7 linked regions of the Ovis aries genome follow. The protein of the gene in region 1 purifies or fractionates together with the protein of each later gene. This does not show direct contact. Links are inferred from orthologs where the notes say so. Each region holds a gene or a part of one and is shown in the gene's direction. Other genes may lie near its edges.

The links.
Region 2: the proteins of SMAD2 (region 1) and SMARCC1 purify together in Homo sapiens (affinity purification with mass spectrometry; 3 studies listed by BioGRID, with this or other methods). This does not show direct contact. The link is inferred for Ovis aries from reciprocal best matches to the Homo sapiens genes SMAD2 and SMARCC1.
Region 3: the proteins of SMAD2 (region 1) and SMARCC2 purify together in Homo sapiens (affinity purification with mass spectrometry; 3 studies listed by BioGRID, with this or other methods). This does not show direct contact. The link is inferred for Ovis aries from reciprocal best matches to the Homo sapiens genes SMAD2 and SMARCC2.
Region 4: the proteins of SMAD2 (region 1) and SKIL purify together in Homo sapiens (affinity purification with western blotting; 8 studies listed by BioGRID and IntAct, with this or other methods). This does not show direct contact. The link is inferred for Ovis aries from reciprocal best matches to the Homo sapiens genes SMAD2 and SKIL.
Region 5: the proteins of SMAD2 (region 1) and TGFBR1 purify together in Homo sapiens (affinity purification with western blotting; 8 studies listed by BioGRID and IntAct, with this or other methods). This does not show direct contact. The link is inferred for Ovis aries from reciprocal best matches to the Homo sapiens genes SMAD2 and TGFBR1.
Region 6: the proteins of SMAD2 (region 1) and KAT2B purify together in Homo sapiens (affinity purification with western blotting, with the first as the bait; 3 studies listed by BioGRID). This does not show direct contact. The link is inferred for Ovis aries from reciprocal best matches to the Homo sapiens genes SMAD2 and KAT2B.
Region 7: the proteins of SMAD2 (region 1) and SMARCA4 purify together in Homo sapiens (affinity purification with mass spectrometry; 3 studies listed by BioGRID, with this or other methods). This does not show direct contact. The link is inferred for Ovis aries from reciprocal best matches to the Homo sapiens genes SMAD2 and SMARCA4.

Annotation. Positions count from the first base shown.
Region 1 is NC_056076.1:47,913,484-47,917,888, reverse strand, and holds the start of SMAD2 (mothers against decapentaplegic homolog 2), read left to right. Parts: upstream 1-1,451; 5' UTR 1,452-1,554; intron 1,555-1,850; exon of another isoform or gene 1,851-1,990; intron 1,991-4,405. UniProt on the Homo sapiens protein: Receptor-regulated SMAD (R-SMAD) that is an intracellular signal transducer and transcriptional modulator activated by TGF-beta (transforming growth factor) and activin type 1 receptor kinases.
Region 2 is NC_056072.1:52,033,915-52,037,827, forward strand, and holds part of SMARCC1 (SWI/SNF complex subunit SMARCC1), read left to right. Parts: intron 1-3,448; coding exon 3,449-3,707; intron 3,708-3,913. UniProt on the Homo sapiens protein: Involved in transcriptional activation and repression of select genes by chromatin remodeling (alteration of DNA-nucleosome topology).
Region 3 is NC_056056.1:163,371,922-163,375,834, forward strand, and holds part of SMARCC2 (SWI/SNF complex subunit SMARCC2), read left to right. Parts: intron 1-116; coding exon 117-375; intron 376-613; coding exon 614-775; intron 776-1,043; coding exon 1,044-1,108; intron 1,109-1,338; coding exon 1,339-1,474; intron 1,475-1,548; coding exon 1,549-1,715; intron 1,716-2,370; coding exon 2,371-2,505; intron 2,506-3,514; coding exon 3,515-3,896; intron 3,897-3,913. UniProt on the Homo sapiens protein: Involved in transcriptional activation and repression of select genes by chromatin remodeling (alteration of DNA-nucleosome topology).
Region 4 is NC_056054.1:217,718,246-217,722,158, reverse strand, and holds part of SKIL (ski-like protein), read left to right. Parts: intron 1-2,153; coding exon 2,154-2,395; intron 2,396-2,684; coding exon 2,685-2,909; intron 2,910-3,577; coding exon 3,578-3,736; 3' UTR 3,737-3,913. UniProt on the Homo sapiens protein: May have regulatory role in cell division or differentiation in response to extracellular signals.
Region 5 is NC_056055.1:48,774,255-48,778,939, reverse strand, and holds the start of TGFBR1 (TGF-beta receptor type-1), read left to right. Parts: upstream 1-1,667; 5' UTR 1,668-1,754; coding exon 1,755-1,839; intron 1,840-4,685. UniProt on the Homo sapiens protein: Transmembrane serine/threonine kinase forming with the TGF-beta type II serine/threonine kinase receptor, TGFBR2, the non-promiscuous receptor for the TGF-beta cytokines TGFB1, TGFB2 and TGFB3.
Region 6 is NC_056054.1:278,383,151-278,386,251, forward strand, and holds the end of KAT2B (histone acetyltransferase KAT2B), read left to right. Parts: exon of another isoform or gene 1-495; coding exon 496-689; 3' UTR 690-1,097; coding exon of another isoform or gene 1,098-1,149; 3' UTR 1,150-2,536; downstream 2,537-3,101. UniProt on the Homo sapiens protein: Functions as a histone acetyltransferase (HAT) to promote transcriptional activation. Has significant histone acetyltransferase activity with core histones (H3 and H4), and also with nucleosome core particles.
Region 7 is NC_056058.1:13,255,216-13,259,740, forward strand, and holds the start of SMARCA4 (transcription activator BRG1), read left to right. Parts: upstream 1-1,623; 5' UTR 1,624-1,912; exon of another isoform or gene 1,913-1,984; intron 1,985-2,054; exon of another isoform or gene 2,055-2,109; intron 2,110-4,525. UniProt on the Homo sapiens protein: ATPase involved in transcriptional activation and repression of select genes by chromatin remodeling (alteration of DNA-nucleosome topology).

The DNA of each region.
Region 1 (4,405 bases):
TTTGAAATGGTCATCTGGTACTTCCTGCTTGCTGATTTGTATTGCCAGTGCTGCTCTGCCTCGAGTCCTCTGTTAAATTCACGAAGTAGTGTACATGTGAGTGCCAGACAAGAACCAAGAAAACCATGTTACAGGTCTAATCTCTGCCACCAACGACCTATGTGAGACCCGAATTTCTTCTCAACTTGAAGTTCTATGGTGTTCTCTGCCTAACATCGTACATGCTTGATAATCGCTTAATATGACTGGCTGGGTTCAAGATTTCAGGCAGAGGCTCGGGGTCTGCAAGGAAAAGGCGACCAAAGTTTCTAGCAGCTTAGAGGCTTTGCAGTGCAGACGTGCGAGGATGGGGTCTAAGAACAGCGCCTGAGCAGTGCAGAAATGAAGAACGGGGCAAATAACTCAGCAATTGTGGGATATCGTGCCAGGCACTTGCGTTCTAGACTTCACAAGGAGCATTCAGAACACGCAAAACGAGCACCATTTTTTCACGAAGACAGGACCAAGTTTCCGTTCAACAAAAATACCTGTGACCACCCCCCCCCCCCCCGCCCCCGCCTCCCCACCAGACCCTACAGCCCAAGCAAAGAGCTCGGCCCCGGGCTTATTTACATCTCGGACCCCGCCCCCGTTTACCACCACGAGGGCCGCGCCCACTCATTCGCACAGGGTGCCCCACGCGTGGGTCCAGGACGCAGGCTTTGGCACACCCCTCTTCGGCCCCTTAGCTCGCCCACCGTCGGGGCCTCCCACCCCGAGGATAAGCACGCCTCCACTCCAGGCTTGACTACAGAGAAGGTGGGCCGGGCGGCGGCTTCCGACAGGCCCCACCCAGTGGTGCCGGCCAGAGACGGGGACGGAGGACCAGCCGCGATCAGGACGGAAAGGTGGTCGCCCTCACGGCAGGTTACGCGCCTCCCCTCCCCGCCCCCCACTCCCTTTCCCAGAGTTTCCCGTGCGAGCGCGCCAGAGAAGAAGCCAACCGAAACCGCGGGCATCCCACCCCGCCTAAGTCCTCCGCCGCCCGCCCGGCCGCGCCTCGCCTCACGCTCTACGGGGGAGGCGGGACCAATCAGAGAGCGACGTCTCCCTTCCGATTCGAGGCCCCCGACGCGCGGCTCACACCCCGAGCAGCCAGCGCGCTGATTGGCTGCGTGCGCCGCCGGTCCGGCCGGGAGGGCGGGGAGGCCGGAGGGAAAGGAGGTGGGGAGAGGTAGCGGCCCGCGCCTCTCAGAGCCCACAGCTCGCGCCCTGGCCCTAACACGGGCGCTCGGGCCTAACCCCTTCTCTTTCTTCGCTGCCCGGGTCTTCCGCGCGCGCCCCCAAGGCCGCGCGCTCGGCCAGCGTACCTCGCGCCCCTAACGGGCGTCCGGGGGCGCCAATCAGCGGGCGGCAGGGTGCCAGCCCCCCGGGGCTGCGCCGGCGAATCGGCGGGGCTCGCGGCCCGGGGTGGGAGGCGGGGCTACCGCGCGGCCGCGGCGGCGGCGGCGGCGGCGGCGGCGGAGGAGCAGCTCCCAGCCACCAGCCAGCGAGCGCCGAGCGAGCCGCCCGGAGGTGGGTGCGCCGCGCCGCTGCGGCCGGCGGCGAAGGGCGCAGGGCGGAAGCGGAGGTGGGGCCGGCGGGCGCGGCGGGGGAGGACGGCTCGGCCGTCGGGGGCCGCCCGGGTGGGGGCGAGGCGGGCGGGCGCGCGCCCGAGGGGAGGAGGGGCGGCGGTGGCGGCGGCGGGACGCGCGTCCCCATCCCCTCCTCCCCGCGGGCGGCGGCCGGGCCCGCGCCGCCCCCTCTCCCGTCCCCTCCCCGCGCGCCGGGGCCGCCGGCCGGGCTCCGGCTGGGGGGGCGGGGCGGCCGCCAGAGTGTTTTCAGTTCCGCCTCCAGTCGGCCCATTCCCCTCTCCCCTCCCGGCCCCTCCATCCCTTTCGGAAGAGGAAGGAACAAAGGTCCCGGACCCCCCCGGACTCTTGACGGGGCGGGACCCGGAGCCTCGGTCCAGGTAACGCCGCGGCGCCCGGCGGGGCCTCGGGGCCGGGGTGTGTCTCTGTGGGGCTCGGGGTCGGTGAGGCGGGCCGGCCGCGTCACCTGGCCGGGCCGAGGGGCCGGGGTGTGGCGAGGCGCCTGGCGGCTCGCGGGGTGCGGGAGTGCGGGGCGGGGCGGCCGGGGGGACGGGGGTCGGCGCTGGGAGCCACCCGCCCGCTCGCCCGCCCGCCCGCGCGCGCGGCCCGGGGCGGGGGCCGGCTGTGTGGCCCGGCCCGTCCCCTCCTCCTCCGTGGCGGTCACCCTCGGTAGTTTGTGGTGGTGATTTTCAAATCCCGCAGGGACGAGGCTCTGGTTTCGGGGACTTGTTGGGAAGCCCGAGTTAGGAGCATGCGAGACTTTGCTTCCACTCCCCCCCCCCCCACTTCCCTGGTGCTGTAACCTTTGTTAACCATTCTGGTCTCGGGGTTCAGAATCGCGAGCGTGTGCTCTCACACAAACACGCACACTGCTGGTACTCCGTCCACATAACTTCTCCACTAGCTTGTGAAAGTTGCTCTTGTGAGCGGAGCCTATTAGTTTTAGTTTTTTTTTTTTAATCACACGCCTTTAGAGAGCAAGCTAATTGATTTCAACGTATTTCAAACTTGGTTTTCAAATCCTGCAGCTTTAATTGTTTTCTTCTCTCCTGGGGAATACTGCCCTTAGATTGAGTACTTTTGTTTTCTACTTACTTAATCCTTTCGTGGTTAATGGTTTCCTTTTGATCCTGAACAAAAGAAAAAAACAGTAGTTAGGTTGGTTTTGTTATTCCTTCCTCTTGACCCTTAAAAAAGCTAAATACTGCCGGTTTGTTGTCAACTAACCCTTTATTTAAAAAGAGACGTTTCCAGGTAAAACGAAAATGAGGTAGCATTTTTCCATCAGTCTTGTCATGTTTGTTACAGTTTGGGGTTTCCTAAATTGTGGTGTTTTAGCACGACACAGCTAAATTTGTTGTGAATAAATAAATGATCTCGCGAACTTGCTTGGAGTAATTGCATCTTTTCAAAAATTCCATCTTCTGGTTTCATATGAATTGAACCTTCACCACTGATTGTAAGGGTGCTTTCCTTGAGACAAATAGATAATACACTCTATTATTTTGATAATACATTAGCTGTTCTAGTTTTGATCCCTTAAAAAAGTTAGGGTTAGGGGGTGTGTAAGGTAAATAGTTAAATTTGGGAAGTTGTGAACAAGTAAATGAAGCAAATATTCTAGAGATGAAAGAAATAATGTAAAGTGGGCCTCATAAATGTGTCATAGTTTGAAGATGTTTTTTTATTTGCCTTAAAAAAAAGTACCATACAAGATATTGATAGAATTTTCTCCACCAGAAGTTCATTTAGCAAACATTTATATCAAAGTCAGAGACCAACACTGATTTTATTTTTAAAGTTTCTTAAGTTTTTTTTCTGCTGTAAAATTAGTTGTTGTAGTAAATAAGAACAGTTCAAATCTATTGGCATTTCTAAGATGAGTGCCCACTTAAACCCTTAATGTTAAAGTTGAGTTTGAAGTAGTTCATTGGTCTATTTTAATTAATGTAAGGTGTTCGGAAACATCCATTCTGGGCTTTTTTTTTTTTAGTATGAAAGTGCTGTTAGAACTTGGTTTTTATACTTTGTAGCTATACCTTCTAGTGATTTCACATTCTAAGTGTTCAGCAAAGTTTGGCTTTTTAAAGTTGTAACTTACCTGTATCTAGTCATAAATGGTCAAATCTCTGCACACACATCTGTAAGGTTCATGAAATAATAGTTTGCAAGAAACTGTGCAGAGTAATTTCCTGTTGTTTGTGGCTTGTCAGGCTTGGTATGTGCTTTAACTCTTAAGTAGGAATTTGGGGATAGTTTTGTATATTTCAGCAGAAATTCTCTTTAGTAAGAACAAAGGTGGTTTCTACTTCAAGATGGCAAAAGGTCCCCTTTTCATTTTCATACTGTAAATACCTCAAACGTGTTGCTGAAATCTTGTTACTTCACATTGAGGGAAAATCTGAGTGACAGAAGAGTTCAGCTGCATAACCTGATCAAAGACCTGCAAAGAAGTTATTTTGCAGATATTTTCAACTGTGGCTTTTTTAAAGGTCCGAAAGCACTCCTTATTCTTGTTTGGTTTTGTACTTTAGGACTTCTGAGGCCTCGTTTTTTGTAGCAGCTTTTTTATACAGGTGTTTCTGTAATGCATATAAAATCTGTATTTAGTGCAGTCTGGCAGATGGAGCCTTATTCATATTCTTGGGACAAGAGTCATTTTTAGAGGCTGGAGAGGGGCATGTCTTTTGATGGGAGTAGAGGAGCCATTTTTATCTGTAGATGTTTTCCACTAAGTATCACAAAGGTATGTCAAGAAAATGTGAACTAAAAAGATTTCAAAACCAGTCCAGGCA
Region 2 (3,913 bases), on another chromosome or scaffold:
ACATGGGCTAAGATAATTAGATTCAATAAAACCATTTTTACTATTTCATCCAGGAAATGTTTAAGTTGGCTTATGTGGTTTCTCCAAGTACATGGTAATGAGGACTTAAACGACCCTTAAGACATCTGGTGCTACTTCCTTGATTGACACTAAGGGGCCAGTGGTTTCCCCCCCGTTGCTTTTGTACCGTTGTGCACATGTCAACATAACAAGTAAGACAGTAATGTCCCAGTGTTATTATTTTGATCTCTCAGTTTCTGTGAAGGGGTCTGGTGCTCTGTGAGTTTCCAGACCACACTTAGGGATCCTTTGGGCCTAGGGTGTCGCACGTATCTGTTTTGCTCTAATTTGATTTTGTGAATTGTTCCAACAGTCATGGTTCATGAAAAATTTTAATGGTGTATTAACTTTTCTGTTTTCATTTTACCAGCCTCTTCTACTTTCCTTATTCTCTCTTCTCAGTCTCTTTTTCTCTGTGTCTGTCTATATTCAAAAAGATTGGTTCCTTTTGCGTTTTTACCACTATTTTCATTTGTTCTTGTCTGTCCTTTCAGTGTCATTGGTATGCAGAGAGCTTCTTTCCTGAACTCCTTTTTCTTTAATTCAGGGCTGTCTTGTCTAGTCATATCTGCTTGTGGGTATTGATTTTACCGTTCTCAGTCCTTGTGGGGAAATGTATGGGAAATGCTTTTGTATTGCTCATATAGAATCTGTGGGCTCTGGGAAGAGAGGCAATTGTGCAGTACTGCCTGAAACAGCATTCTCCTATCGGTTCTTTTCCTTGCTGTACATTAATACTCAGGAGTTTTCTTCTTTGTGTCCAACTCTTTGCAACCCCATGGGCTGCAGCACACCAGACCTCTCACTATCTCCTGGAGTTTGCCCAAGTTCATGTCCATCGCATCGGTAATACCATCCAGCCATCTGGACCTCTGGTGCCCTCTTCTCCTCCTGCCCTGAATCTGTCCCTGTATCGGGGACTTTTCCATTGAGTCGGCTGTTCGCATCAGATGACCAAAGTACTGGAGCTTCAACTTCAGCATCAGTCCTTCCAATGAGTATTCAGGGTTGATTTCCCGTAAGATTGACTGGTTAAGATTAGTGGATAGTAAATAAAGAGTGAGGTCAGAATGGCTGAGCTCCTGTTTACCCTCAACATATCCCACAAAGCCACAGATCTCCACACAATAGTGTTTTCTCTCCTGCAGCTGGAGGCTTTGCAACCGGTTGATTTTCCTTTTAAACATGCTGTTGAACCAACAGATGTCTGCACTTACCCAGAGGAATATAAAAGTCTTCCCAACAGCATTGTTGACTATTCACACCTTCTGTTTTTATCGTTTATTTATCGATAATTAATAGCTTAAGAACATGAAGTCAGAGGAAAATTTTTTAATCGATTTATAACCAAAAACTTCATCAATTTCACCGACAAACACATCTGGAAGACTCGTTAGAGTATATTATTGTCCATTCTCCCTCCCCCAAATCAGACCATTTTATCAGACATGCATATCACATAGGCTACTTAACCAGGTATCTTCCTGTGTAATTTTATATTACACTTCAGCTTCCAGTTGTCCTGAAGAAAGGCCTTTTAAAAAATTATGGGGTGTTTTCGTCTACACTCCTCAGCTTTCAGGATCTTACCGACCAGGGATTGCACCTTTGCCCCTCTCAGTAGAGTCCTAACCACTGTACTGCCAGGGAATTCCCCAGATTTTTTCATTTTTCTTTTAATGCTTGGAGTCATGGAAAGTGAGATTCCTTTCCTAATTTAGTTTGGCTACCTGTGATTAAATTCAGCACATTTTATTTGGTACTGTGTTTCAGGCACTGTGGCAGACAGATTGAGATATAGTGTCTACAGTAATTGAGTTCAGTAATAGTCTACTATGATAGAAACTGATTGAAACACGATTAGAGGTATGACGAGACACGTACAGAGGAGTGGCTCTGTAGCTGGCCTGGGTAGATAAGATATAATGGACAGCTTCCTGGAGTAGGGTGCTAGTATTGGTTCTGGTCCATGATATTTCTAGTACAGAACAAACTGTGCATACACACAATACTTAGGATGTGGGATCTGGGTATTCCCGGAACAGTAAAGAATGATGGTGAAGTGGAAGAATTAGCAGATCCCTGTCGTGTTTGACCTTAATTCCATAACATAATGATGAGAACTGAAATAGTTTTAGGCAGGCAAGCGACAGTCTCCTGTGTCACACGTCCAGCAACAGGAAGAAGGATGGATTGAAGGGTAGAGACAGGCAAGTCTAAGAATCCAGGTAAGCAGTGGTGAAGACCCCAGTGATGGCAGGAGGAGGTGTTGCGTAGTGTAAATGTCTGCTGATGACTTTTTTTCTGTATGTCACCCTTTTCCTTCGTGGAGGCCTGTCGCCATGTTGTTTTGAAAACCTCTCTTCATTCTGCCTCTCCTATGTAATGCTTCTGTTGGTGCTCAGGCTCAGAACTTCACTGCTTCTCAGCCTTGTGCTTTTCTGGATGCTGACGGTGGCTTGAATTCTGCATGTCAATTCCTTTGCTTTATTCTGAGAAAAAAACTTCCTGAACTTGCTTTACTTTTCTCTGGCTAAAGGAAAATGAACAAAGGAAAAAGCTTAAAAGTAAGCTCATCTGAAAAGGTTATGCTGGAAAGTATCAAGACAGTCTCTCCTGGATTTTGCTCAAACATGTCCTTTGAGTTGGTAATGCCAGCTAACCATCTCATCGTTTGTCATCCCCTTCTCCTGCTCTCAGTCTTTCCCAGCATCAGGATCTTTTCCAGTGAGTCGGCTGTCATATCAGGTGGCCAGAGTATTGGAGCTTCAGCTTCTGTCTGTCCAGTGGATATTCAGGGTTCATTTCCTTTAGGATTGACTGGTTTGATCTCTGTGCAGTCCAAGGGACTCTGAGGAGTCTTCTCCAGCACCATAATTCTTTGTAATATACACGCCTTTTACATTGTAACATGTATACTATCATGTAAGAATCGAATCGCCAGTCTATGTCCGACGCAGGATACAGCATGCTTGGGGCTGGTGCACGGTGATGACCTAGAGAGATGTTATGGGGAGGGAGGTGGGAGGGGGGTTCATGTTTGGGAACGCATGTACACCCGTGGTGGATTCATGTCAGTGTATGGCAAAACCAATACAGTATTGTAAAGTAAAATAAAGTAAAAATAAAAATTAAAAAAGAAAATAAAAAAATAAAATAAATCTCAAAAGAGAAAATATATATATACACGCCTTTTATTTGTTTTTCTTGACTGAGAATTTAACATAATAAGGAAAGCAATCAGATCTACCTGCTGTGAACAGTATAACTATTTTCATTACTGTTTTTAATTTAAAGCCCATCTAAAGAACAGTCGCAGGTTTCTGATGTCATTAAGTATTACTTCCTTGTTACCTGATAATTAAAGCTCCTGTTTTTTCCATCACAGGCTCTGGAGATGTATAAAGATGATTGGAACAAAGTGTCAGAGCACGTTGGAAGTCGCACTCAGGATGAATGCATCCTTCACTTCTTGAGGCTTCCCATTGAGGACCCATACCTTGAGAATTCTGATGCTTCCCTGGGGCCCCTGGCCTACCAGCCTGTCCCCTTCAGTCAGTCGGGAAACCCAGTCATGAGCACTGTTGCTTTTTTGGCATCTGTGGTGGATCCTCGTGTGGCATCTGCTGCAGCCAAAGCAGCTTTGGGTATGGACTTTCTTAAGCTGTCTCGCGAGTGTAACCATTTCAGAGCATGGTTTCATGCTTTCATGATAGTTTATCTCAGATTTAGGTGTTATCAGCTGTTACACTCATTGCAGTTTTATGTATTACCCCTTAAGGATAGTAGGTTATGTTTGCTAAATAAAGCAGTTAACATACAACATTTTTCAAACTATGAGCATTTTTTAAGA
Region 3 (3,913 bases), on another chromosome or scaffold:
AATATCACAACCCAGAGAGCTCTGAAGCAGCTCTGCTTAGCGGGGTTGAGGACGCTGACCTTTGAGGGAGGTGGCTACTGGAGTAAGTGAGGTTGTGTCTCCACCACCACCACCAGGCACTGGAAATGTACAAAGATGACTGGAACAAAGTGTCAGAGCACGTGGGAAGCCGCACACAGGATGAATGCATCTTGCATTTTCTCCGGCTTCCCATCGAAGACCCGTACCTGGAGGACTCAGAGGCCTCCCTGGGCCCCCTGGCCTACCAGCCCATCCCCTTCAGCCAGTCAGGCAACCCCGTGATGAGCACCGTTGCCTTCTTGGCCTCTGTCGTCGACCCTCGAGTGGCCTCAGCTGCTGCGAAGTCAGCCCTAGGTAACGCGCAGGGCTCCCATCCCTCTTGGTTTGCATTTGAAAGGCTGGGTACTCTGACTGTGGAACCCCCTCAAGTTCACTGCCCTACTGGCCTTGTCTGCGGCTGGCATCAGCCCAGGCAACGGTCCAGCTCCACGCAGGCAGAGATGAAGAGCTGGGTTTGTGAGGGAGCTCTCACAGAGAGTGCCAGAACTGCCTACCTGCCTGCTCCCAGCCTCCCCCTCTCTGGGTCTTACAGAAGAGTTCTCCAAAATGAAGGAAGAGGTACCCACAGCTTTGGTGGAGGCCCACGTTAGGAAAGTGGAAGAAGCCGCCAAAGTGACAGGCAAGGCAGACCCAGCCTTTGGTCTGGAAAGCAGTGGCATCGCAGGGACCACCTCCGATGAGCCGGAGAGGATCGGTAAGGCTTGCCGTGTTCCCCAATTCCTCCCTTTTTACCAGCAGCCTCAGCCGCCTGGCCTCCCCATACCATCCCTGCCTCCACCTGACCTCAGAGCATGAGACGGATGGGGTGAGTTGGTGGGGTGTTCATTTTCCTCAGGGCTTTACTTTAGGTACCGTGGCTCCCCACTGGTCCTCTCAGTAAGATCTTGGCTAGAAGGGGCAGTTGGAAGAGTGTTGTAGACCAACTGTCAGACATCTCCTGTTTCCTCTTCCCCTGGACCCAGAGGAGAGCGGGACTGATGAGGCACGGGCGGAGGGCCAGGCCACAGAGGATAAGAAGGAACCCAAGGTACAGCGGGATTGACACGGGCTGGGAAGGCAAAGGGGTCCAGCGTGGACCAGGGAAGGGGAGCCGGCTCCACTGAGCTTGGGCAGGCGAGGGCTGGGCTTGGATGGGGCTCGCAGCCTGGATCCAGGCCCTCTCCCAGATAAGAGGTGTAAACTCAGCTCCTGGTCTGGGCCCGCTGTGTGCGAACCAGCACCCTGACACTCCCCTTTTTCCTTTCCCTGGGACTCCAGGAACCTCGAGAAGGAGTTGGGACTGTGGAGGAAGAAGCAAAGGAGAAGACCAGTGAGGCACCCAAGAAGGACGATGAGAAAGGGAAAGATGGCGACAGCGAGAAGGAGTCAGAAAAGAGTGACGGAGACCCGACAGGTGAGCCTCACGTGGTGGTTGGGGTTCAGAAAGGAAGCCAGGCTCTAGGGCTCACGACCCTTTTCCTGGCCCAGCGGATCCTGAGAAGGAGAAGGAGCCCAAGGAAGGGCAGGAGGAGGTGCTGAACGAAGTGGTGGAGTCAGAGGGGGAGAGGAAGACGAAGGTGGAGCGCGACATTGGCGAGGGCAACCTCTCCACCGCCGCCGCCGCCGCCCTGGCTGCTGCCGCCGTGAAGGCCAAGGTAAGGCCTCAGCCCCAGGGAAGGAGGTGCTGCTCCTCATCGCACGGTACCTGGAGGGAAGCCTGCCTTGTCATCCTTACCCAGTGCTGGCCTGTCTCCTGTCCCCTTTGGATCCTGAGAGGAACGCTTGGTCACCTCTTACCTCTTTTAAGCCTTTATCATTAGGCCTGTCTCGCAGTTTATTTATTTATTTGGCTGCACTGGGTCTCCGTTGCAGCATGTGGGCTTCTCTCGTTGCAGAGCGCAGGCTCCAGAGCGAGAGGGCTTCAGTAATTGCAGCTCACGGGCTCTGGTTATGGCAGTTGGGGCACGTGGGCTTAGTTGCCCCACGGCCTACGGGATCTTAATTCCCTGACCAGGGATCGAACCCACTTCCTCTGCGCTGGAAGGTGGATTCTTAACCACCAGACCACCAGGGAAGTCCTGATTGGGCCTGTTTCCACCCTCTCAATTATTTGACCTTTCCTTATCCTTTGATATCCTCTCTTTTTTCATGTTCTTTTAAAAACACCACTCAAGCCTGCGCTACTCTCTGGGTTGTGACCACAGCAAGTTCTGTCTTAAAGCCTGTCAGCCCCCACACCACCCTTCTCTGTTGCCCAGTGTCTTCAGCTGGGTCCTCGCACTGATGGCCACCCCACCCTTCCTTCCTTAGCACTTGGCTGCCGTTGAGGAGAGGAAGATCAAATCTCTGGTGGCCCTGCTGGTAGAGACCCAGATGAAAAAGTTGGAAATCAAACTCCGGCACTTTGAGGAGCTAGAGACGATCATGGACCGGGAGCGAGAAGCAGTGAGTCGAGTCCCCTGGCGGTTGGCGGGGCCCCACCTTGGCAGTGGGCTGGGCCGCAGTTTAGGGCAAGGAGAGCAGCAATACAGAGAACCTGAGGCTGACAGTATCACAGCAGAGCAGACCAGCCCAGACCAGGGCAGGAGGAGCCAGCCTGGGCGGTTAGGGACAAGTGACCCACAGGTACAGCCTGGAGACTGAGGTCCCACAGAATGTCAGCCCCAGGGTCAAGTTTGCCACATCTCCAGGTCCTTAAAGGGTGCTTAGTCCACGGTAGACTTGGCTGTGGAGTGATTGTTGAGTGATTAAACAGGTTTAAGGCATGATGAGAGGGTAAGGGCTTCAGAGCCAGGGGTTAAAGTTGGAAAGGGAACAGGATGGACATGGTGTCGACTCATTTTGATTCTTAGAAGATATAAAAGTAGAAGATAAGGACTCTGATCCTGAACTCCTCAATTGAAGATATCAGATATCCAATATGGAGACGTCAAAGTTGGCTAATGCTTCAAGCATCTGACAAATGAAAATTGAGAGATTTCCAATCAAGCATAAAAATCCTGAGTGAGAGCAGAATAAAGGCCAAAGTTCAGAGGCTAGTGAGGTGATCTGGGAGGGCTTCCTAAGAATTGTGAGTTTTTCTTCAGTTTTGAAGGAGGGAAAGAACATGATTTGACTAGAGGAACTTGGTTGGTTGGTGGGGTAGGGGTTGGTTTCCAGATGAAAGTAATGACAAATTCAAAGCTTTGGAGCTGAAAATGAACAAAGGCTACCACCAGATTAAGTCCACTTGTCCACTGCAGTGAGAAGCCATGTGGGCAGCCAGAAGACCTGGTGGGGGGAACTGGAGAGGGGAGGGGAGGCGAGAACAGCGGAAGCCAAGCACAAGGCTGAGGTTTGGTGTGGGGATCGCCAGAATGGGAGGCTGGGCTTGTCAGAAGACAAAGCAGGGGGCAAGGTGTGTGCCTTTGGGGTCTCCAGCCCCCGGGTGACAGCTCTCCGTCGGCCCGGGCAGCTGGAGTACCAGAGGCAGCAGCTCTTGGCCGACAGGCAAGCCTTCCACATGGAGCAGCTGAAGTACGCAGAGATGCGGGCCCGGCAGCAGCACTTCCAGCAGATGCACCAACAGCAGCAGCAGCCACCGCCAGCCCTGCCCCCAGGCTCCCAGCCTATCCCACCGCCAGGTGCTGCTGGGCCACCCACTGTCCACGGCTTGGCCATGGCTCCAGCCTCTGTGGCCCCGGCTCCTGCGGGCAGTGGGGCCCCTCCTGGAAGCTTGGGGCCCTCCGAACAGCTTGGGCAGGCAGGGTCAACTGTGGGGCCACAGCAGCAGCCACCAGCTGGAGCCCCCCAGCCTGGGGCCGTCCCACCAGGGGTACCCCCCCCTGGACCCCATGGTGAGTGATGGCTTCTG
Region 4 (3,913 bases), on another chromosome or scaffold:
TTCTCCCCTTTTACCAGCCTCTAATCTGTTTTCTGTTTTTATGGATTTGCCTGTTCTAGGCATTTCATATAAAATGATTGTACAGCATGTGGCCTTCTGTTGCCTGGCTTCTTGCACTAAGGATGTTTTCTCAGTAGATGTTATAGCATGTATTAGCACTTCTTCCCTGTTTATGGCTTAGTAACTTTCTGTTGTGTGGATGGATAAGACCCTGTTTTGTTTATCCATTCATCAGCTGATGGACATTTGGATATGTCCACATTTGGCTGTTACGACTAATGCTGTTATGAACACTTAAGCACAAGTTTTAATATGAACATATGTATTTATTTCTCTTGGCTATATATTTAGGAGTGTAATTGATGGGTCATATGGTAACTCTATGTTTAATATCTTGAGGGACTGCCAAACTGTTTTTCAAAGCAACCATACCATTTTCATTTCTAGCAACGGTCTCTGAGGTTTCCAGTTCCTGCACATCTTTGCCAACAGTTGTCGTTGTTTGTCTTTTGAGGAGAGCCATCCTCGTGGTTGTAAAGTGATATCTCATAGTTTTGATTTGCAGTTCTCCAAGTTGACTGATGGTACTGAATATCTTTTCATGGTTTTTTTGGACACTGCAAATCTCTCTCTCCTTTTTAATATTTGTTTTACTTATTTGGCTGTGCCAGGTCTTAGTTGCGGCACATAGGTAGGATCTTTAGTTGCATGCGCATTCTCAGTTGCAGCATGTGGACTCTAGTCCTCTGACCAGCGATTGAATCCAGGTCCCCTGCATTAGGAGTGCAGAGTCTTAGCCACTGGACCACCAGGGAAGTCTGCATTGCAAATTTTTGGAGAAGTACCTGTTGAGATCCTTCGCCTATTTTTAAATTGGGTTGTCTCTTTATTACTGAGTTGTAAGAGTTACGTGTACATTCTGGGTACTAGAGCCTTACCAGATAGAGGATTTGCCATTGTGTCTGTTGTCTTCACTTTCTTGGTAGTGTCCTTTGAAACACAGAAGTTTTAAATTCAGATGAAGTCCAGTTTGTTGCTACTTTGATTGCTTACTTTAGGTGTCATGTCTAAGAAACGATTGCTTAATCCAGTTAAGAATTTTAGCTCTTAAGTTTAAGTCTGTGATCCATTTTTAATTAATTTTTATATAAGATGTAAAGTTCAATCTCAATCATATATTTTTAATTAATTTTTATATAAGATATGAAGTTCAACCTCAATCGTATATAGATACAGTTGTCCCAACATGGTTGAAAAAGCTACTGTTACTCTTTGAATTGTTTAGGCCCCCTTGTTAAAAACCAGTTGCCTGTAAAAGTATATGTTTATTTCTGGATTCACTCTTTATGTCCGTACCACACACGGTTTTGATTTCTGTAGCTTCATAACAAGCTTTGCTATTGGAGATTGTGAGTCCTCCAACTTTGTTTTTCTTTTTCAAGATTACTTTGGCTATCTTGGTTTCCTTTTATTTCCATGTGAGTTTTAGGATCAGTTTGCCAAATTCTGCCACATAGCCAGGTGAAATTTTGATAGGGTCTGCATTGAAAAAGTAGATCAGTTTGAGACTACCATTTATAACAAAAATAACACGACTGGGTGGCTTATTCTATAGACACTTACCCTTTCACTGTTTTAGAGGCTGGGAAGTCTTAAGATCAAGGCCCTAGTGGATTTGGTCTAGCAAGGGTTTGCCTCCTGGTTCATAGATGGCTGTCTTTTCATTATGTACCCAAATTGTGGGAGAGCTCTCTGGAGTCTCTTTTATAAGCGCATAAATCCCATCAAGGGGTCTCTACCCTTATGAGCTAATTATCTCCTAAAGGTTTCATTTCCTAATACCATCACTTTGGGGGTTAGGATTTCAGCATAGGAATTTTGGAGATCATGATACATCTTAATGATATTAAGTCTTCCAGTCCATGAACATAGGATTCCTTTCCATTTATTTAGGTCTTTTATTTCTTTCAATGATATTTTATAGTTTCTGTTGTATAAGTTTTATACTACTTTTGTTAAGTTTATTCCTAAGTATCTTTATTTTTTTATTTGGTTATAAATGAAATTGTTTTCTTAATTTCATTTATGGATCATTCTAGTGACTTTTGACAGAGTGGTATTTATACTTTGTTACTTCTTTTTTGCCTTTGAAGATCCATCAGTCTCGAATAATTCTACCAGCAAAAAGAAACCTGAGGCTGCCACTTGCAGCTTAGCCAGAGACACAAGCAAATCAGGAACTGACTGTGATGTTGCAGCTTCATCTCCATTTCTTGTCAAAGATGTCACTTGTGAGGACGATAAGGGAAAAATCATGGAAGAAGTAGTGAGAACTTACGTAAAACAACAGGAAAAACTGAACTCAGTTTTACAGAAGAAGCAACAACTTCAGATGGTAAAACTGTTATTTAAATGATAGTCCATTGTGAAAAAATACTTTAGCATATTCTTCAAGATAAGATGCTGTAAATGTTTTAATATTGTTCAGTTTTATACTTACAAGAAATATTAATATACTTTTAAATTTTTAGAGAAAATAGTTTTTAAGATAGCTACTTATGTATAGAATTGATATGACACCTCAGTTTTGTAATAGATACTTTCTGTCCTGTTTTTTTCTGAATTGAAAGGTTTAATGTGATAGAAATAAAGTAAAAATTATATTGTGACTCTTTAAATTACAGGAAGTTGAAATGTTGAGTAGTTCAAAAGCTATGAAGGAACTTACTGAAGAACAGCAGAATTTACAGAAAGAGCTTGAATCTTTGCAGAATGAACATGCTCAAAGAATGGAAGAATTTCATGTTGAACAGAAAGACTTAGAGAAAAAACTAGAGCAGGTAATGAAGCAAAAATGTACCTGTGACTCAAATTTAGAAAAAGATAAAGAGGCTGAATATGCAGCACAGGTAAGAATTACACAGTTTGTATAGTGTTGCCTTTTCAATGTGGAAATTGAAGCTGTTACTTTAATTTCATTAAAGAAATTACTTTTTGTTAACTTGTTTCATTTAGGCTAGACTTCAAAATAGATAATTCTGTTAAACACAATTTTATGCTGTATCATTCAAGATGATTGTTTGGATCTTAGTTGTTGCATTACTTTAAATTTTTATTGGATTTCTATAGTTTAGTTGTCCTAATTGCTAATCTCTAGCTATCTGAGTATCAATGTTATTTTAATGTAATACATGGGCTTTCAAATCAATGGCTTAACAAACATAAACTGTTGCCTACTATGTTCATAAGCCTTGGGGCAAAAGTGGATAGTAGCTCACAACTTGGGAAAGATGAACAAATAACTCCTAATCTGATCATGCTGTGGTAACAGGTATACCAGAGTATAAGGCATAATGAAAGTGTTCTAAGTGTTCAGTTCCCTGACCCTTTGTTTTGCCCTCATTTTAAGGTCATTTCAAAGTCAGATTAATAGTATTGGATATTCAAGAGATTATAATATGCATGAAATAGTTCATTTTTGCAAAAATGATTTGCAAGTAGGTCTTTGCCATGATGTGAGAAGTAATGGAAAACCAAAACTGAATGGAAAACTGACACAGTCTTCTAAATCACACAGCTGGCAGAGCTGAGACAGAGACTGGACCATGCTGAGGCTGATAGGCAAGAACTCCAAGACGAACTCAGACAGGAACGGGAGGCAAGGCAGAAGTTAGAGAAGATGATAAAAGAGCTAAAGCTGCAAATTTTGAAATCATCAAAGACTGCTAAAGAATAGAAACCTTCAAAGAAATCCATCTGTGTGTTCCCAACAGGGTTTATTTTTATTTGTTTGTTTACTTTGGTAAATGGATTCTGAACAATTTATCTGCATGAAATAACGGCATTCTATCCATTTGTAGATCAGAGAAAGTGAAGAGATTATATATTAGTATATAAATTTTTACATTTTCCA
Region 5 (4,685 bases), on another chromosome or scaffold:
ACCTTGGTTCCAGCAGTAGCTACATCCCTGGTTAGGTGGTCTGGTGTATGTATATTTGTATGTATACCAGCTCCTTACTTGCCCAGAGGAGAGGAGCAGGTGAGGGGTCCAGAGAGAAAGTCTATCAGCAGAATTTCAGAGGGAAGAAGGGGAGCCCCCAAGTCTTAACATAGTCTCTTCACTAAAACTTGGGGGATAGATATTATTTCCATTTTATAGATGACGAAATGGAGGCTCAGAAAGGTTAACTGGCTTGCTCAAAAAGGTGTTCAAGCCAGAAGGGGAATAGTGCCCATCTCAGATCTCAGTTCCAACACCCGCGCCCTGCCCCTTTACTGCTCAGGAGGGAGGTCTTCACAGGCTTGTAAAATGCTCACCCCGGTAGCCCTAAACCAATTTACAAATCGATAGTAGAGGCTGGTTCTGATTCCTGCTACCAAGGCTTTATTTAATTTCAAGTTCGAATCACACAGAAAATAAAATTTTCTCCCTGAAAGGTCCTGTGGAAAAATGTTCTGTTCTATGTAACAGCCTCCTCGGCTGTGTTTGTGTCTGAAGAGAGGACTAGTCTGACAGGAAGAATTACAAATCTGGAGCTCATTTTGGCGTCCCAGAGGAAAGGTGGGTGGAGCGTCTCACAGTAAATTAGGAATTCAGAATGAAAACGTAGCTGAGTTTATTTAGGTTTCTAGTGACACCTCAGAATTATTGTGCAGGCGTGTCAGAGGCAGCTCAAAGTAATGACTGCTCCTCCTCCGCTCCCGGGGTGCTGCCTGCTAAGAAGGGGGAATCCCTCTCCTTGGGGGATGGGGGTGGGAACCTTCCCTTTCTCACCTGGATCAGGAAGGGAGAAGGGGAAAGGAGTGTGGTTTGGAGTCCTGTCTGGCTCAGCTCTGAATTCCGGAGAGAGGCGGGAGTCAATTCGGGGGTGTGTCTGAGCTCGGGATCTGTGTCTGAGGGGGATCTGAGGCCAGGATTTGGAGACTTTCTTTAGTTGTGTGTTTTTTTTTTTTTTTTTGCGGGGTGAGGGTAATCTAGGTTTGGGGTGGACAATGACAGTGGGAGGAAACAGGAGATTGGGTCGTATCTGAAAAGCACTGAGGTAGGATCTTGGGGTGGGGGGATGGTGTTGAAAGTTGAGGCGTGGATCTGGAAAGGGGAAGTTGAAGCCTGCCCGACGATACTAAGGATCTGGGTGAATGTGTGGGGGATTGACGGTGCAGGACTGTGAATCGGGGTCAGGCTCAGTACCAGATCTTAAATGAGAAGAAAAAAGGCTAGAAGAATAGAGCTTTGAGCTGCCACAGCCTTTTTCCGAAACCAACTCACACCCAGACACACCCATCGTCTAGCCCTCGCCCTCTGTGGCTGGAGGTAAGGCTGTGCCAGCCTCGCTAGACCCTGCCCCCACCCGGCCTTCTAGCTCCCAGCGGCTCCGACTGGGGCAGGGGTCTGTCTCTTCGACCCCGGGGGAGTCTGGGGGCGTGGCCAGCAGCCCGGCGCCTGCGGCTCCGGATTGGCTTCCCAGCGGGCACGTGGGCGGGGTTTCGGCTTGGGTCCGGCTCTGCAGTTCGCAGACGGCACGGAGGCGGGGCCGGCGGGAGCCCTGCAGCCAATGGACTGGCAGCCCCCGAGCAGTTACAAAGGGCCGAAGCAAGGCCGCCGCCGCGGCAGGGGAGGTGGGGCGAGGCGAGGCTTGTTGAGGCAAGGCGGCGGCCGGGCCGGGCCGGGCCACAGGCAGTGGCAGCGGGACTATGGAGGCAGTGGCCGCTACTCCGCGTCCCCGGCTGCTCCTCCTCATGCTGGCGGCGGCGGCCACGCTGGTCCCGGAGGCAACGGGTGAGTAGTGGCGCGGCAGGGCTGGCGGGAAGCTTCGGGGTGCGCGGGCCGGGCCCGGCCTCTGGCTCACTCCTTCTCTTTCTCAAACATGGCGCGGGGCCGGGGGCGCAGGTGGCGGCACCCGGGCCGGGCTTTCCTGGTCTGGCCGCCGCCTCGCGAGTCGCGGGCGGGCAGCGGAGGCGGGGCAGAGGCGTGGGTCTGAGCGCGGGTGAACGTGCCCGGCAGCCCGCAGCCGCCGCGGCTGCTGGCTCTTCACGGGGAGGTGGCGTCGGGCGAAGCCGTCCGGGGTCCTGGGCTGCCCTCTGGGGAGCGAGTGGGCGCGGGCCGAGGGGCGGAGGGTGTGAGACTGGCCGAGACCGGCAGAGCTGGGGCTGCTCCCCGGTTCCCGCGAGGCGCTGCGTGGCGTTGTCCCAGGCACCGCACCCTGATCGAGTTGGTCCTCCAGGCATCGGGGGCCCTGGCGGGGTTAGGGGGTCGGAGGAAGCTTCCAGGGCGGGGTGTGCGCTCTGAGCCTCCAGGCCTCCCCCAGCAATGGGAGGGGATGTGTGTGGCAGAGACCCTTGGGGTCAGCGAGGCCTGCCTGGCCTTTGACATCGGCTTGACCCGGCCGAGTGGGGCTGCTTCTCCAGCCGGGGGTGGCTTTGGAAGAGGAGCTGCTGCGAAGCTTTGTGTGAGGACAAGGAGGCACTAAGATGTGTGGAATGTTTCTTTCGTGCGTCTGGGGAACGCAGAAGTGAAATCCACTCACCAGAAGGCTGCGGATTGTTTTGGTAGTAGAAACTTGAACGTTTGCTCACTCTGCGGGGTTTGGAATGTTTGAATGGAAGTGACTCTGAATTGATCAAACGATTTTATTTCCTCGAAGGAACATCGATAGAGAGGTTCCATCTCTTGAGTGACAGTAGTTTGAATCGGTCGTCTGTGAGGCTGGTTTCGAGGGACAGTGTTATGTTTTCCAAAATATTAAATCAGGATGGGGTATGTGGTCATCACCTACCCAATGGAAGGGGGAGTGAAAAGCTTTGTTAGCATTCAAACTGTACTACTAAAAACTGAGATGTAGAGCCTTAGTGAAAGCAACTAAAATAAAGTGAATACATTTTTATTTCTCTAATTGAACACAGTGTTTTAAAAACATTTCAAGACTTAGGGTGCCAGTTATTATTAATAGCTATTGTCTATTAAGAGCTTATTATGATACAGAGGCATAAAGTACACCAAAGTACATTATCTGATCCTCACAACTAAACCCTGAGGGCTGGTGGCGTTTGCCCCATTTTACAGAAGAGAAAACAGGTGTGAAGAGGATAAGTACTCAGTTGCTAAAAGCTGGATTTAAGATTTGCAGCAAAGGTTTCAGGGGTTCCAAAACCTATACACTTTAATATATATACCTGTCTGGCATTGCCCATATTCGTTTTTAGATTTTTGTCCTCAAAATTAGAAAACCAATTTGGCTTCTTTCTGACTCCAAGTACTTTTTTTTTTTTTTGGCCACACTGCATGGCATGCAGGATCTTAGTTCCCCCTGCAGTAGAAGCGTGGAGTCCTAACCACTGGACTGCCAGGAAATTCCCTTCGAGTACATTCTTATAGTCCCTTCAGGCTAGGCCTACCTTTGAGGAAACAGATTTTTGACATTGCCTGAGAAGGGGGGCAAGATAGATAGGTGGATAGGTAGGAGAATCAGTATAATTATGCATCAAGTAACATTTCCACACCACTAATTAACTCAGATAGCATAGTTCTATCTTTTCCACGTAGCTTAGCACAGAATGTGTTCATGTATTCAAATAACAGAATTGAGCTTACTATATACACAAAGCATTGCCCAGTTCATGCCCTGGAGGAGCTTACAGACTACTCTGGCATGCATTCAATACAAAGCTGATCCAGGCACTATTATCCTTAAGTCTCAACTGGTCTGCCTGCTCTCCTAGGTGACGTTGATGTTTCCATTCATCCTTTCATACCTTCTGAAGATGCTCAAATGCTCTTTAAAATTTATAAATTGAGGGACTTCCCTGGTGGTCCAGTGGCTGGGACTCCGAGCTCCCAATGCAGGGGCCTGGGGTTTGATCCCTGGTCAGGGAGCTAGATCCCACAAGATGCAGCTAAGACCCAGTGCAGCCAAATAAATACACTCCTTTTTTTTTTTTTTTTTTTAATAATTTGACCTTCATTTTTAAGAGTCTGCATTTGTTCCTTATTGTCTGAGTATCAGTTTTATATTTTTCTGCCCACCTTCTGCTCTGTCCAACATAGATTTCTTTGGGGAGATTGGTCCCTTGTCCTTGGTACACAGTTTAGTACCATTATGTTTACATAGATTTCCCATGCTTTAGCTTCCTGTCATTTTGTAACTTTTTCTTCGAAAACATGCCCAAGCCCAACTATTCTTTACATTAATGCCTCTTGAATGTATCTTCCTTTCTTCACATGCAGCTGTCAGGTTTAGTCCTGCCTATTATCCCTCAAATGCGTTTGCTTTCCAGAGTTTCTCTCACCTAGGCTTTTCTGTAGGCTGCTGCCAAGCTAACCTTCTTCAACCATCCCCACAAGGGGTTTCCAAGATTTCCCATGTGTATTCAGTGCTTAGAGCAGTACCTGAGGCTTATGATTAGGGCCATTTCTGTATCCAGCTAGAGATCTCTCATCCTGCTACTGCAAACCCTCGATTCCAGTATTTTGTGTTTTCCCACCCACTCCTGACTTTTGTGAGTGTGAGAAGTTTTTAGTCCTGACTTCCTATACTGTTTTAGTTTGTGAACTATTTGCCTGAACTGCATGGAACTTACACTTTGTGTTTTCTGTTTCTACCACCTTACACCTTAAATATTCTCTTG
Region 6 (3,101 bases), on another chromosome or scaffold:
ATGCAGGTCACCGGTGCACTTGCAGGCGCATTTATGATGCTTCCCGACTTTAGTTCTGTCTCTGAAACACCAAAACAACCGGGAGTTTAGAGGAACAGACTCACCCTGATGGCTTAAGTAATGAGTGTTCCAGCCGCTGCACTGCACGTAGGCAGAGCCTCTTCTCTGTGCTTTTGAGTGAGTAGCTCACAGTACTTAGTTTATCGTACTTGTCACTGCTAATCTACTTAGCTTCCTTGCACTGAATAGGGATCGAACCAGATGACTACGAATGGTCCTTCCGTGCTAAAACACTGATTTTGCACAGGATACTCTCACAAAAGAAAGGACACAAGCCTCAAGAACTGTTTTCCTTGATCACGTGAATCTCTCTCAGACAAACCGTTGAGGTGGTGGAGATGTGGGCAGACTGGTGATACATTTCTTTCCCAGTCTCACGTGTCAGCGAGTGTTTGAAAGGAGCCAAAAATTGCTGATATTTTTTTTCCTGTGTAGATCTGAAAACCATGAGTGAGCGCCTCAAGAATAGGTACTACGTGTCTAAGAAGCTGTTCATGGCAGACTTGCAGCGAGTCTTTACTAATTGCAAGGAGTACAACCCCCCTGAAAGCGAGTACTACAGGTGCGCCAATGTCCTGGAGAAATTCTTCTTCAGTAAGATCAAGGAAGCTGGGCTAATTGACAAGTGACACTTCTTTCCTCTGCTTCTTAGAAACTCACCAAACAGTGTGCCTAAAGCATGGTTTAGTTTTACAAAGAGTTGGACGTAATGTATTGAAGATACTTGTAACAATTAGCACTTTTGAAAAACAAAAAACCTCTTAGCTTTTCAGATATGTATTTAAATTGAAGTCATAGAGCATTTCTATTTTACGGAATAGATTCTAGTCTATTTACTACTATCAATGTCAGTTTCCTACGGCATGTCCATTAGCTGAGTGTTCAGTGCTAGACGATCAGGGGGTTCCTCACAGCTTGTATATGAGGACGTTGCACACAGTACCAAGATCTGGGGGAATGCAGAAAATTTTGAGACCGTGAATGTTTCCTTTTTTTGCTAATGGAATGTGAGAGTTTACTTTTATTTTATTCTGAAGGACTTTAAAGGAAGGGATACGTGATAAAAAGCCCATAGAAGGTGAAGCGTGATGTGTGAAGGCTCATGGTGGACTTTATATACATATTTTTAAACACTCATCTAGACGAGGTGCTTTGAGCAGTTCTGAAAATGCGGTTCCAGAGAAGCAGCTCCTTTGGTTTCTAAAGAAGAAATTCTAAATAATGCAGACTTCTTTATAAGCGTCTGGGTTTTTGATAATTCTGTCTACCTGCAACAAACTTGTGAGTGCATGACCACTATCTTAATAATTATTTTCTCTACACGAGTCTGTAATACTATATTTGACTTTGCTTATGCAGGCCATAAGTTCTAAAAGGCAATTTCTTGGGCCACAAAGGCATCCATTTGAAAACACTTGAGATTGAATTAACATGCTTTAATTTAAAAAGATGTATAATCTATATCATGGATCAAATTTAGTGAATCCTCCACTTTTTTTTACAAATAAGATTTTTTCCCCCCTTTTCTACAATACACTCAGCCCAACTGATAATGTATTTATGGACACTTGTCCTTTGGCGTCTCCAGACTATATTCATTTTGGAGATGAATTCAGTTACCGCCAAGACCTTCTGTCAGTATTTCAATGCCTGCTTTGGTACAGGGTAATAATATCCCACTAAAATCCATCATACAGCCTTGTTAACCTGTCTTGGGATGCCGGCTTCATGCTGGGATTTATTTCCTAATTAACACTACACTGAGAAGTGGGACATCGCAACCCCAGCTCTGGGGGAACCAACTCATACAAAGCAAACAGTGGCCATCTTGATGGTCTCGACACTAATTTTTATGATACAAATTTATAAACTGATTTTTGTAAAAGGACTAGGTTTTAAAGGTGTCTCTAACTCAGTGTTTTCTATCAGCATAAACTAATCGAAATGATCATTTGATAGACATTGGACACAGTTGCCAGCGAATCTGCGTGAAGGGGAAAGCCTGCAGATGGCCATGCAGTTGGAAGGACGGTTTCAATGTGTAAGGGACACTCAGAATGCTCACAGCTGAGAAATGCCTCAACTTTTTAAAGAGACCACCTTGAGTGGCGTCTAGATTGCTAATGAAGAATGATACAGTTTGGATCAAGTATCTCGGACTGGTTTTAAACAAGTGCTTTGTCCTGGATCTGCTGAAGCACCTGGCCAGCTTGGTATCCTGTGAAACGTTTGTTATTTTCTGGGTAGACATTCTTATAGAGTATTGTCTTTAAAATCAGATTGTCTCTTCTATATTGAAAGCATTTCTATGTTTTCTAATTTAAAAATTAATATTTTCTTATAGATATTGTGCAATAAAGCTGAAGTAGGATGTGTGGTTTTTGCAAATGCTTTAACAGCGGATAAAATTTTACATTTGTAAAATTAATATATTGTATTGGTACCAAATAGTTTTAAATTATATTTTAAAAAGCTCTGTCTGCTGGTATGTTTTCTTCTGATGGATTTGTGTTTAACGGGGCAGATGTATGACCTGGTTGATGACTGACGCCGTCCTTCGTGCTTAGGATGTAAGTATTTGGAGGGGGGCGTTCAGAATTGTTGCATTTGTAGAAGTTTCGTAAAAATTCACAGCCCATTACTGGGAGCTTTTCAAGAGGAGAGACACTGTGTCTCTTGAGTAATCCACGGCATCTTGCTGGTTGTCACTTACCAAAAAAGAAAAGTCCAGCTAAAGAAGTGGTCTTGGTTTTAGAAGCAGCCACCTCATGGCCCAGTTTTTCCTGCTTTGCATCTGTGAGATAGATGAATCAGGAGACACCCCTCCCCCCAAAAAAATACAACTGATTTTTAGACACCTCCGATACATTTCTAATGTTATTCACAGTGCTGAAAAAACTATATCCTCCTGGGGTGTGAGTATCCACCACAGAGCATCATTCTTCCTTTCTGAATTCTGAGCCAGCTCAGCAGTCGAAGGAATGAGGCAGGCAACAGCCAGAATGTCTTTATTAGAACTAGAACGCGTATCGGAGAGGGTG
Region 7 (4,525 bases), on another chromosome or scaffold:
CTTTTTTTAAATTTATTTTTAATTGGAGGATAATTGCTTTACAATGTTGTATTATCTTTTGTGCAAGGCGGATTCTTAACCACTTGATCACCAGGGAAGTCTTCTGCTCAGCGTTTAAGATGTTGAAGGCACTTTAGAAATATTGCTTGAATGAATGAGACAGGCCGAAGTCTAGACCTCACTTGCCCATTTCCTGTCCATTACCCAACGTCACAAGCTAAGTCACCGAGAGCTTCTCCATGGCCTGTTTTCATGGATGCCTCATAACCAACCCTGTGGAGATGAGTGGTGTCACTGTTTTCACTTTACAGGTGAAGAAACAGAAGTGTAAACTTCTGTAAACTTGCCTGGCATCCCCCAGGTACTAAGGAGAGTCAGGTTTTCAACGCAGGTCTTTTTGGCTTCAGGCCAAGATATTAGCTGCTGCTTTATGCTCTAAGGGCCTCACCTTGGGCTTGGAAAGGCCCAAAGTGCTGGTGATACACACTCCATAGAAGCTAATATATTTTCAATTAAAAAAGAATATTTTTAAGGTGTCTAGTGTGTTGCAGAGGGTGGCCCCACACTAGATATTGGGTATTCTTCACTAGGGACTAAAATTGACAACACTGCGCCACTTAAATTGAGGTTAGGGAGACAGATACTAAAGGGGTTACCCAAGAAATGTGAAAGAAAAGGAGGTGGTGATCAAAGAGGGGGCAAGGCCAGGGGAGGTGATGAGTCAGCTGAGACCTGAAAAATGAGGGGGAAGGCCTGAGAGAAGCAGGGGTAGGGAGTCACAGGCTCCAGGACTTGGCCCTGGGAACCGTTTGTCCAGTTGTGGGGCTAGAAACAACGAATACAGACTCAAGAGATACTCTCAAAATTTAAGAGATGAAGCCTCCTAGTCTCTGGGCCTTCACACTTGGAACAAAGCTCTCTCTCTCTCACTGCTTTTATGTCTTGACTCAAATGTCTTCGCAGAGAGGCTTTCCCTAGCTGCCCCATTTAAAACTTCCCCGACCCTTCACGTGTCCATTTCAACACAGTGTATTTTACTTAAGTTTTCTTGCCTCGCGCCTGCCTCTCCCACTAAACCATGAGCGCCACAGAGGCTGAGATTTCTCTTCGGTACTACAGTACCTCAGTGTGGGGCAGGTCAATAGATTATCTGCTAAACTAATAGCCCTAGGTAAGTTGTGCGGAAAAGATAGCCACGGTCTTTGCGTAACAGGCTTTGCCGAACGGGCACCGCCATCATCCGAACATCGACCTGCACTTGGCCCAGGGGCCGGCTCTGCTCATCCCCGGCCCCAGCCTGTCCGCCTCCTGCCTTCATGCACGACCTTGGAAGCCTCACTTCTGAGTCTCAGGGGCCCTCGGCCACGCTTTCCCCGCAGACCTCTCCACCACCCACCCCATCCCCCAACCTCCCGCTGCCACCTCCACCTCCACCACCGCCGCAGTGCCGCCTGCTCTGCGCATGCTCGGCGGCTTTGAGACGCGCGGCGTGCGGGAACGGAGACCACCGCGCGCAGGCGCATGACCGTCCCACACAGAGTCGGGAGGCGCGTCGGGCGCTCTAGCTCTCTCTGGCCCCACCCACCTCTCCCAGACAACCCCGGCGAGACGCGCACGCGCCCTAGGAGCGGAAGGGCGGGCGGGCACGCGCACGAGGACGGGCCAGCAGCGGAAGCGAGTGGGAGTTCGTGGTGGGGGGAGGGGAGGTGGCGAGTGCGCGCGCAGCGGGGGCGCGGGCAGCGTGGGGGGGCGGCTGAGGCAGGCGGGCGCGCGCGCGAGGCTTACCCTCGCTCGGCGGCTGCGGCGGCTGCTTCTTTGTTTCGTGAGGAGAAGCGAGAAGCCCATTCTGCCCCCGGCCCCGCGTGGAGGGGCGGGGGCGGCGCCGGGAAGGCGACGGCGCCGGCGACTCCCGGTAAGGAACGTGGGTCGCGGGGGGAGCGCGGCGCGGGGCTTGGGAGGACGGTTTGAATGGAGCCGGGGCGCCGAGGGGGGAGGGGGCCGCCGGCGCCCGGAGCCGGGCCGGGGTACGGCGGCGCCCGAGGGTCAAGAAGCCTGACCGGCACCGCGCGCGCGGGGAAGGCCACAGGCAGCGAGGCCTCGGCGACTACAGTATCCGCGGGACGGCGGGGTGGGGGCCAGGGCCGCGTGGAGGCCGCGCGCCCCCCGCGCGCGCTCTCGCCGGGGTCGCTGGACAAAGCGCGTTGCCCCGTCGGCGGTCCAGGGGCCCACATCCCGGTGTCCGCCGGGGCTGCAACAATAGCCAGACGTCCGGGCTTTTCTGGTTACGTTCTAACGGGTCCGACTCGAATGTTGCCTTTTGGCGAGCCTGCAGTCGGAGCTCAGTAGGAAAAACCCCAGGTGTGTCCAGCGTCGCCCGGACACGAACATTAGCAGCCCCCCTGGGTTAGCCGACCTGAATGGTTATTTTTTTAAAAGTCACGTCGTTTTAGATTTTCAAGGAAAGGTAAATAACTCTGCTAACCCCTTGCAAGTAGTGACTTGAGAACGTTTGCCCTGAAGCCGGGGGTCGGCAGCAGTGGGGAAGGACGGAGAGAACTGTTTGCCGTTAAAAGCATTGTTTTAGTTTTGCGTCCTTACCCCTTTCTGCCAATCGATTTTCCAGATTAAGGTTTTTATTTAAAACGCGAATCTTTCAGGAGAAGGTATTTTGTGAAGGTCTTGAAGACACTAGTCTTGATATTTTCCCCCCCTAGTGAATCATTGGGGAAAGTAGGGAATAAGCAGTGAGAGCCACTTCCTAAGAATTTGAAACAAGTTTTCACTTTTAAATGACAGGCCTGATTCAAGTTTGACTCCTGGCTGTTGCTGGTCACTTCGCTGTGTGACAGGAGGCAAATAGCTTAATCTTTTGGAACTTCTCAGTGTCCTCATATGTGAAATGAGAATAATGGCACAGATGGAGCCGGTGAAAGCCTGTAAAATGGTTCCTGTCAAGAGGGAAGCACTATCGTTGTTGTTCAGTCCAGTCTCTTCCATTCTTGTTCAACACATACTTGTTGAGCCCCAGCTGGGTGTTTGGTAGTTGGAGGTTGGGTGCCCAGAGCAGCCTGTTCAGTCTTGTAGGGGAACAGGTGGTAAGTGTGGGAACAACTAGAGGCCTGTCATGTGTGAGGAGCACAGCAGATTGGTGCCAGTGGTGGGAACCAGAGATCAGGTAGCTGCATGGAAGAGGGGGCTTTTACTCAGGGTTAGGGAGGACCCCCAGGTTGTGTTGGACCACTTGGGACCAGTCATTGCTCCCCTCTGCTGCTTTTGCACATGGTCATCTTGATCCTTTCTTGTGTTAGGAGTTACTCCTGTTTGTAATTACACATCTCTTCTCCAAGGGCCATCAGAGCTGTCTGTGTAATCTCTTTTAGTGTACCCTGGCCCAGTGTGTAGTAGGCCCTTAGGGAACATTTGTGGATGAAGGAGGAGGGTACTCTTGAGGATTGAGTAGCCCTGTGTGTGAAGTGCTTGGCCCAGGACTTGAGGGCGAGTTGCAGACAATAAATATTAGTTGCTGGCGCTGTGTTTTGCTTTCTTTTTTAATTTTTTTCTAAAGCTTTCCAGGCCATTTTCCCCAAACCTCATTCCCTCAACAGTAAGGGTGTGGGGTAGTAGTTAATAGGAGGTGGTGTTATGGAGTGCTAGTTCTGGAATTAGACCTCCTGGATTCACAGTCAGCTCTAAATTCTAGTTTGACCTCAAGCAGGACACTTACCAGTAGGTCCCCCAACTTGAGAAACAGATAAGACAGTGGTGCCAGCTCAAAGAATTGTTGTGAGGGTTGGAAAGATAGTATGGGAAGTGGTTTAACACTCTCTAGAGTCTGGCATGTAATGAGCTCTCAATTTTTCGGAGGTGGTTTTGTTCATACGTATGTATTTGTAAATTAACTGTTCAGAAAACTGAAAACATGAGTCATTCTGTATCCCAGAAACCCCAGGTTTGATGTGCTGGTTATATACATTTTCCTAATTTTCTTTAAACTCAATACATATACGATTATGAAAATAATAAGTGTTCCTCCTCATGCCACTTGAAATCATTTGTGCCCAACCCTTCAGGGGGCTTCCCAGGTGGCGCAGTGGTAAAGAATCCCCCTGCCAATGCAAGAGACCTAGGAGACATGGATTCGGGACCTGGAGGAGGGCTTGGCAGCCCACTCCAGTGTTCTTGCTTGGAGAATCCCATTGACAGAGGAGCCTGGTGGGCTATAGTCCATGGGGTCACAGAGTCGGACGTGATTGAGCGCACACGCCAGCCCTTCAGGAGATGTTGATTTTGCAGGTGTTTTTTGGGGGGGTGTTCATCGTGGGGTGACCTCATCATAGCTTTGGTGCAGGGCAGTGCAGTGGTTCCAGACTTCCTGTCAGTGAAAAGCACTCCAACATAAACACGTATTTATTTTTTTAAAACACATAATTTATTTATACACCTTTGCCTCTCTTGTGGGTCCTCAAAACATTGGGAGGTAACCGTAGACCAGCTCTCCGTCCCCACTGTTTATCTGATGTGGGAG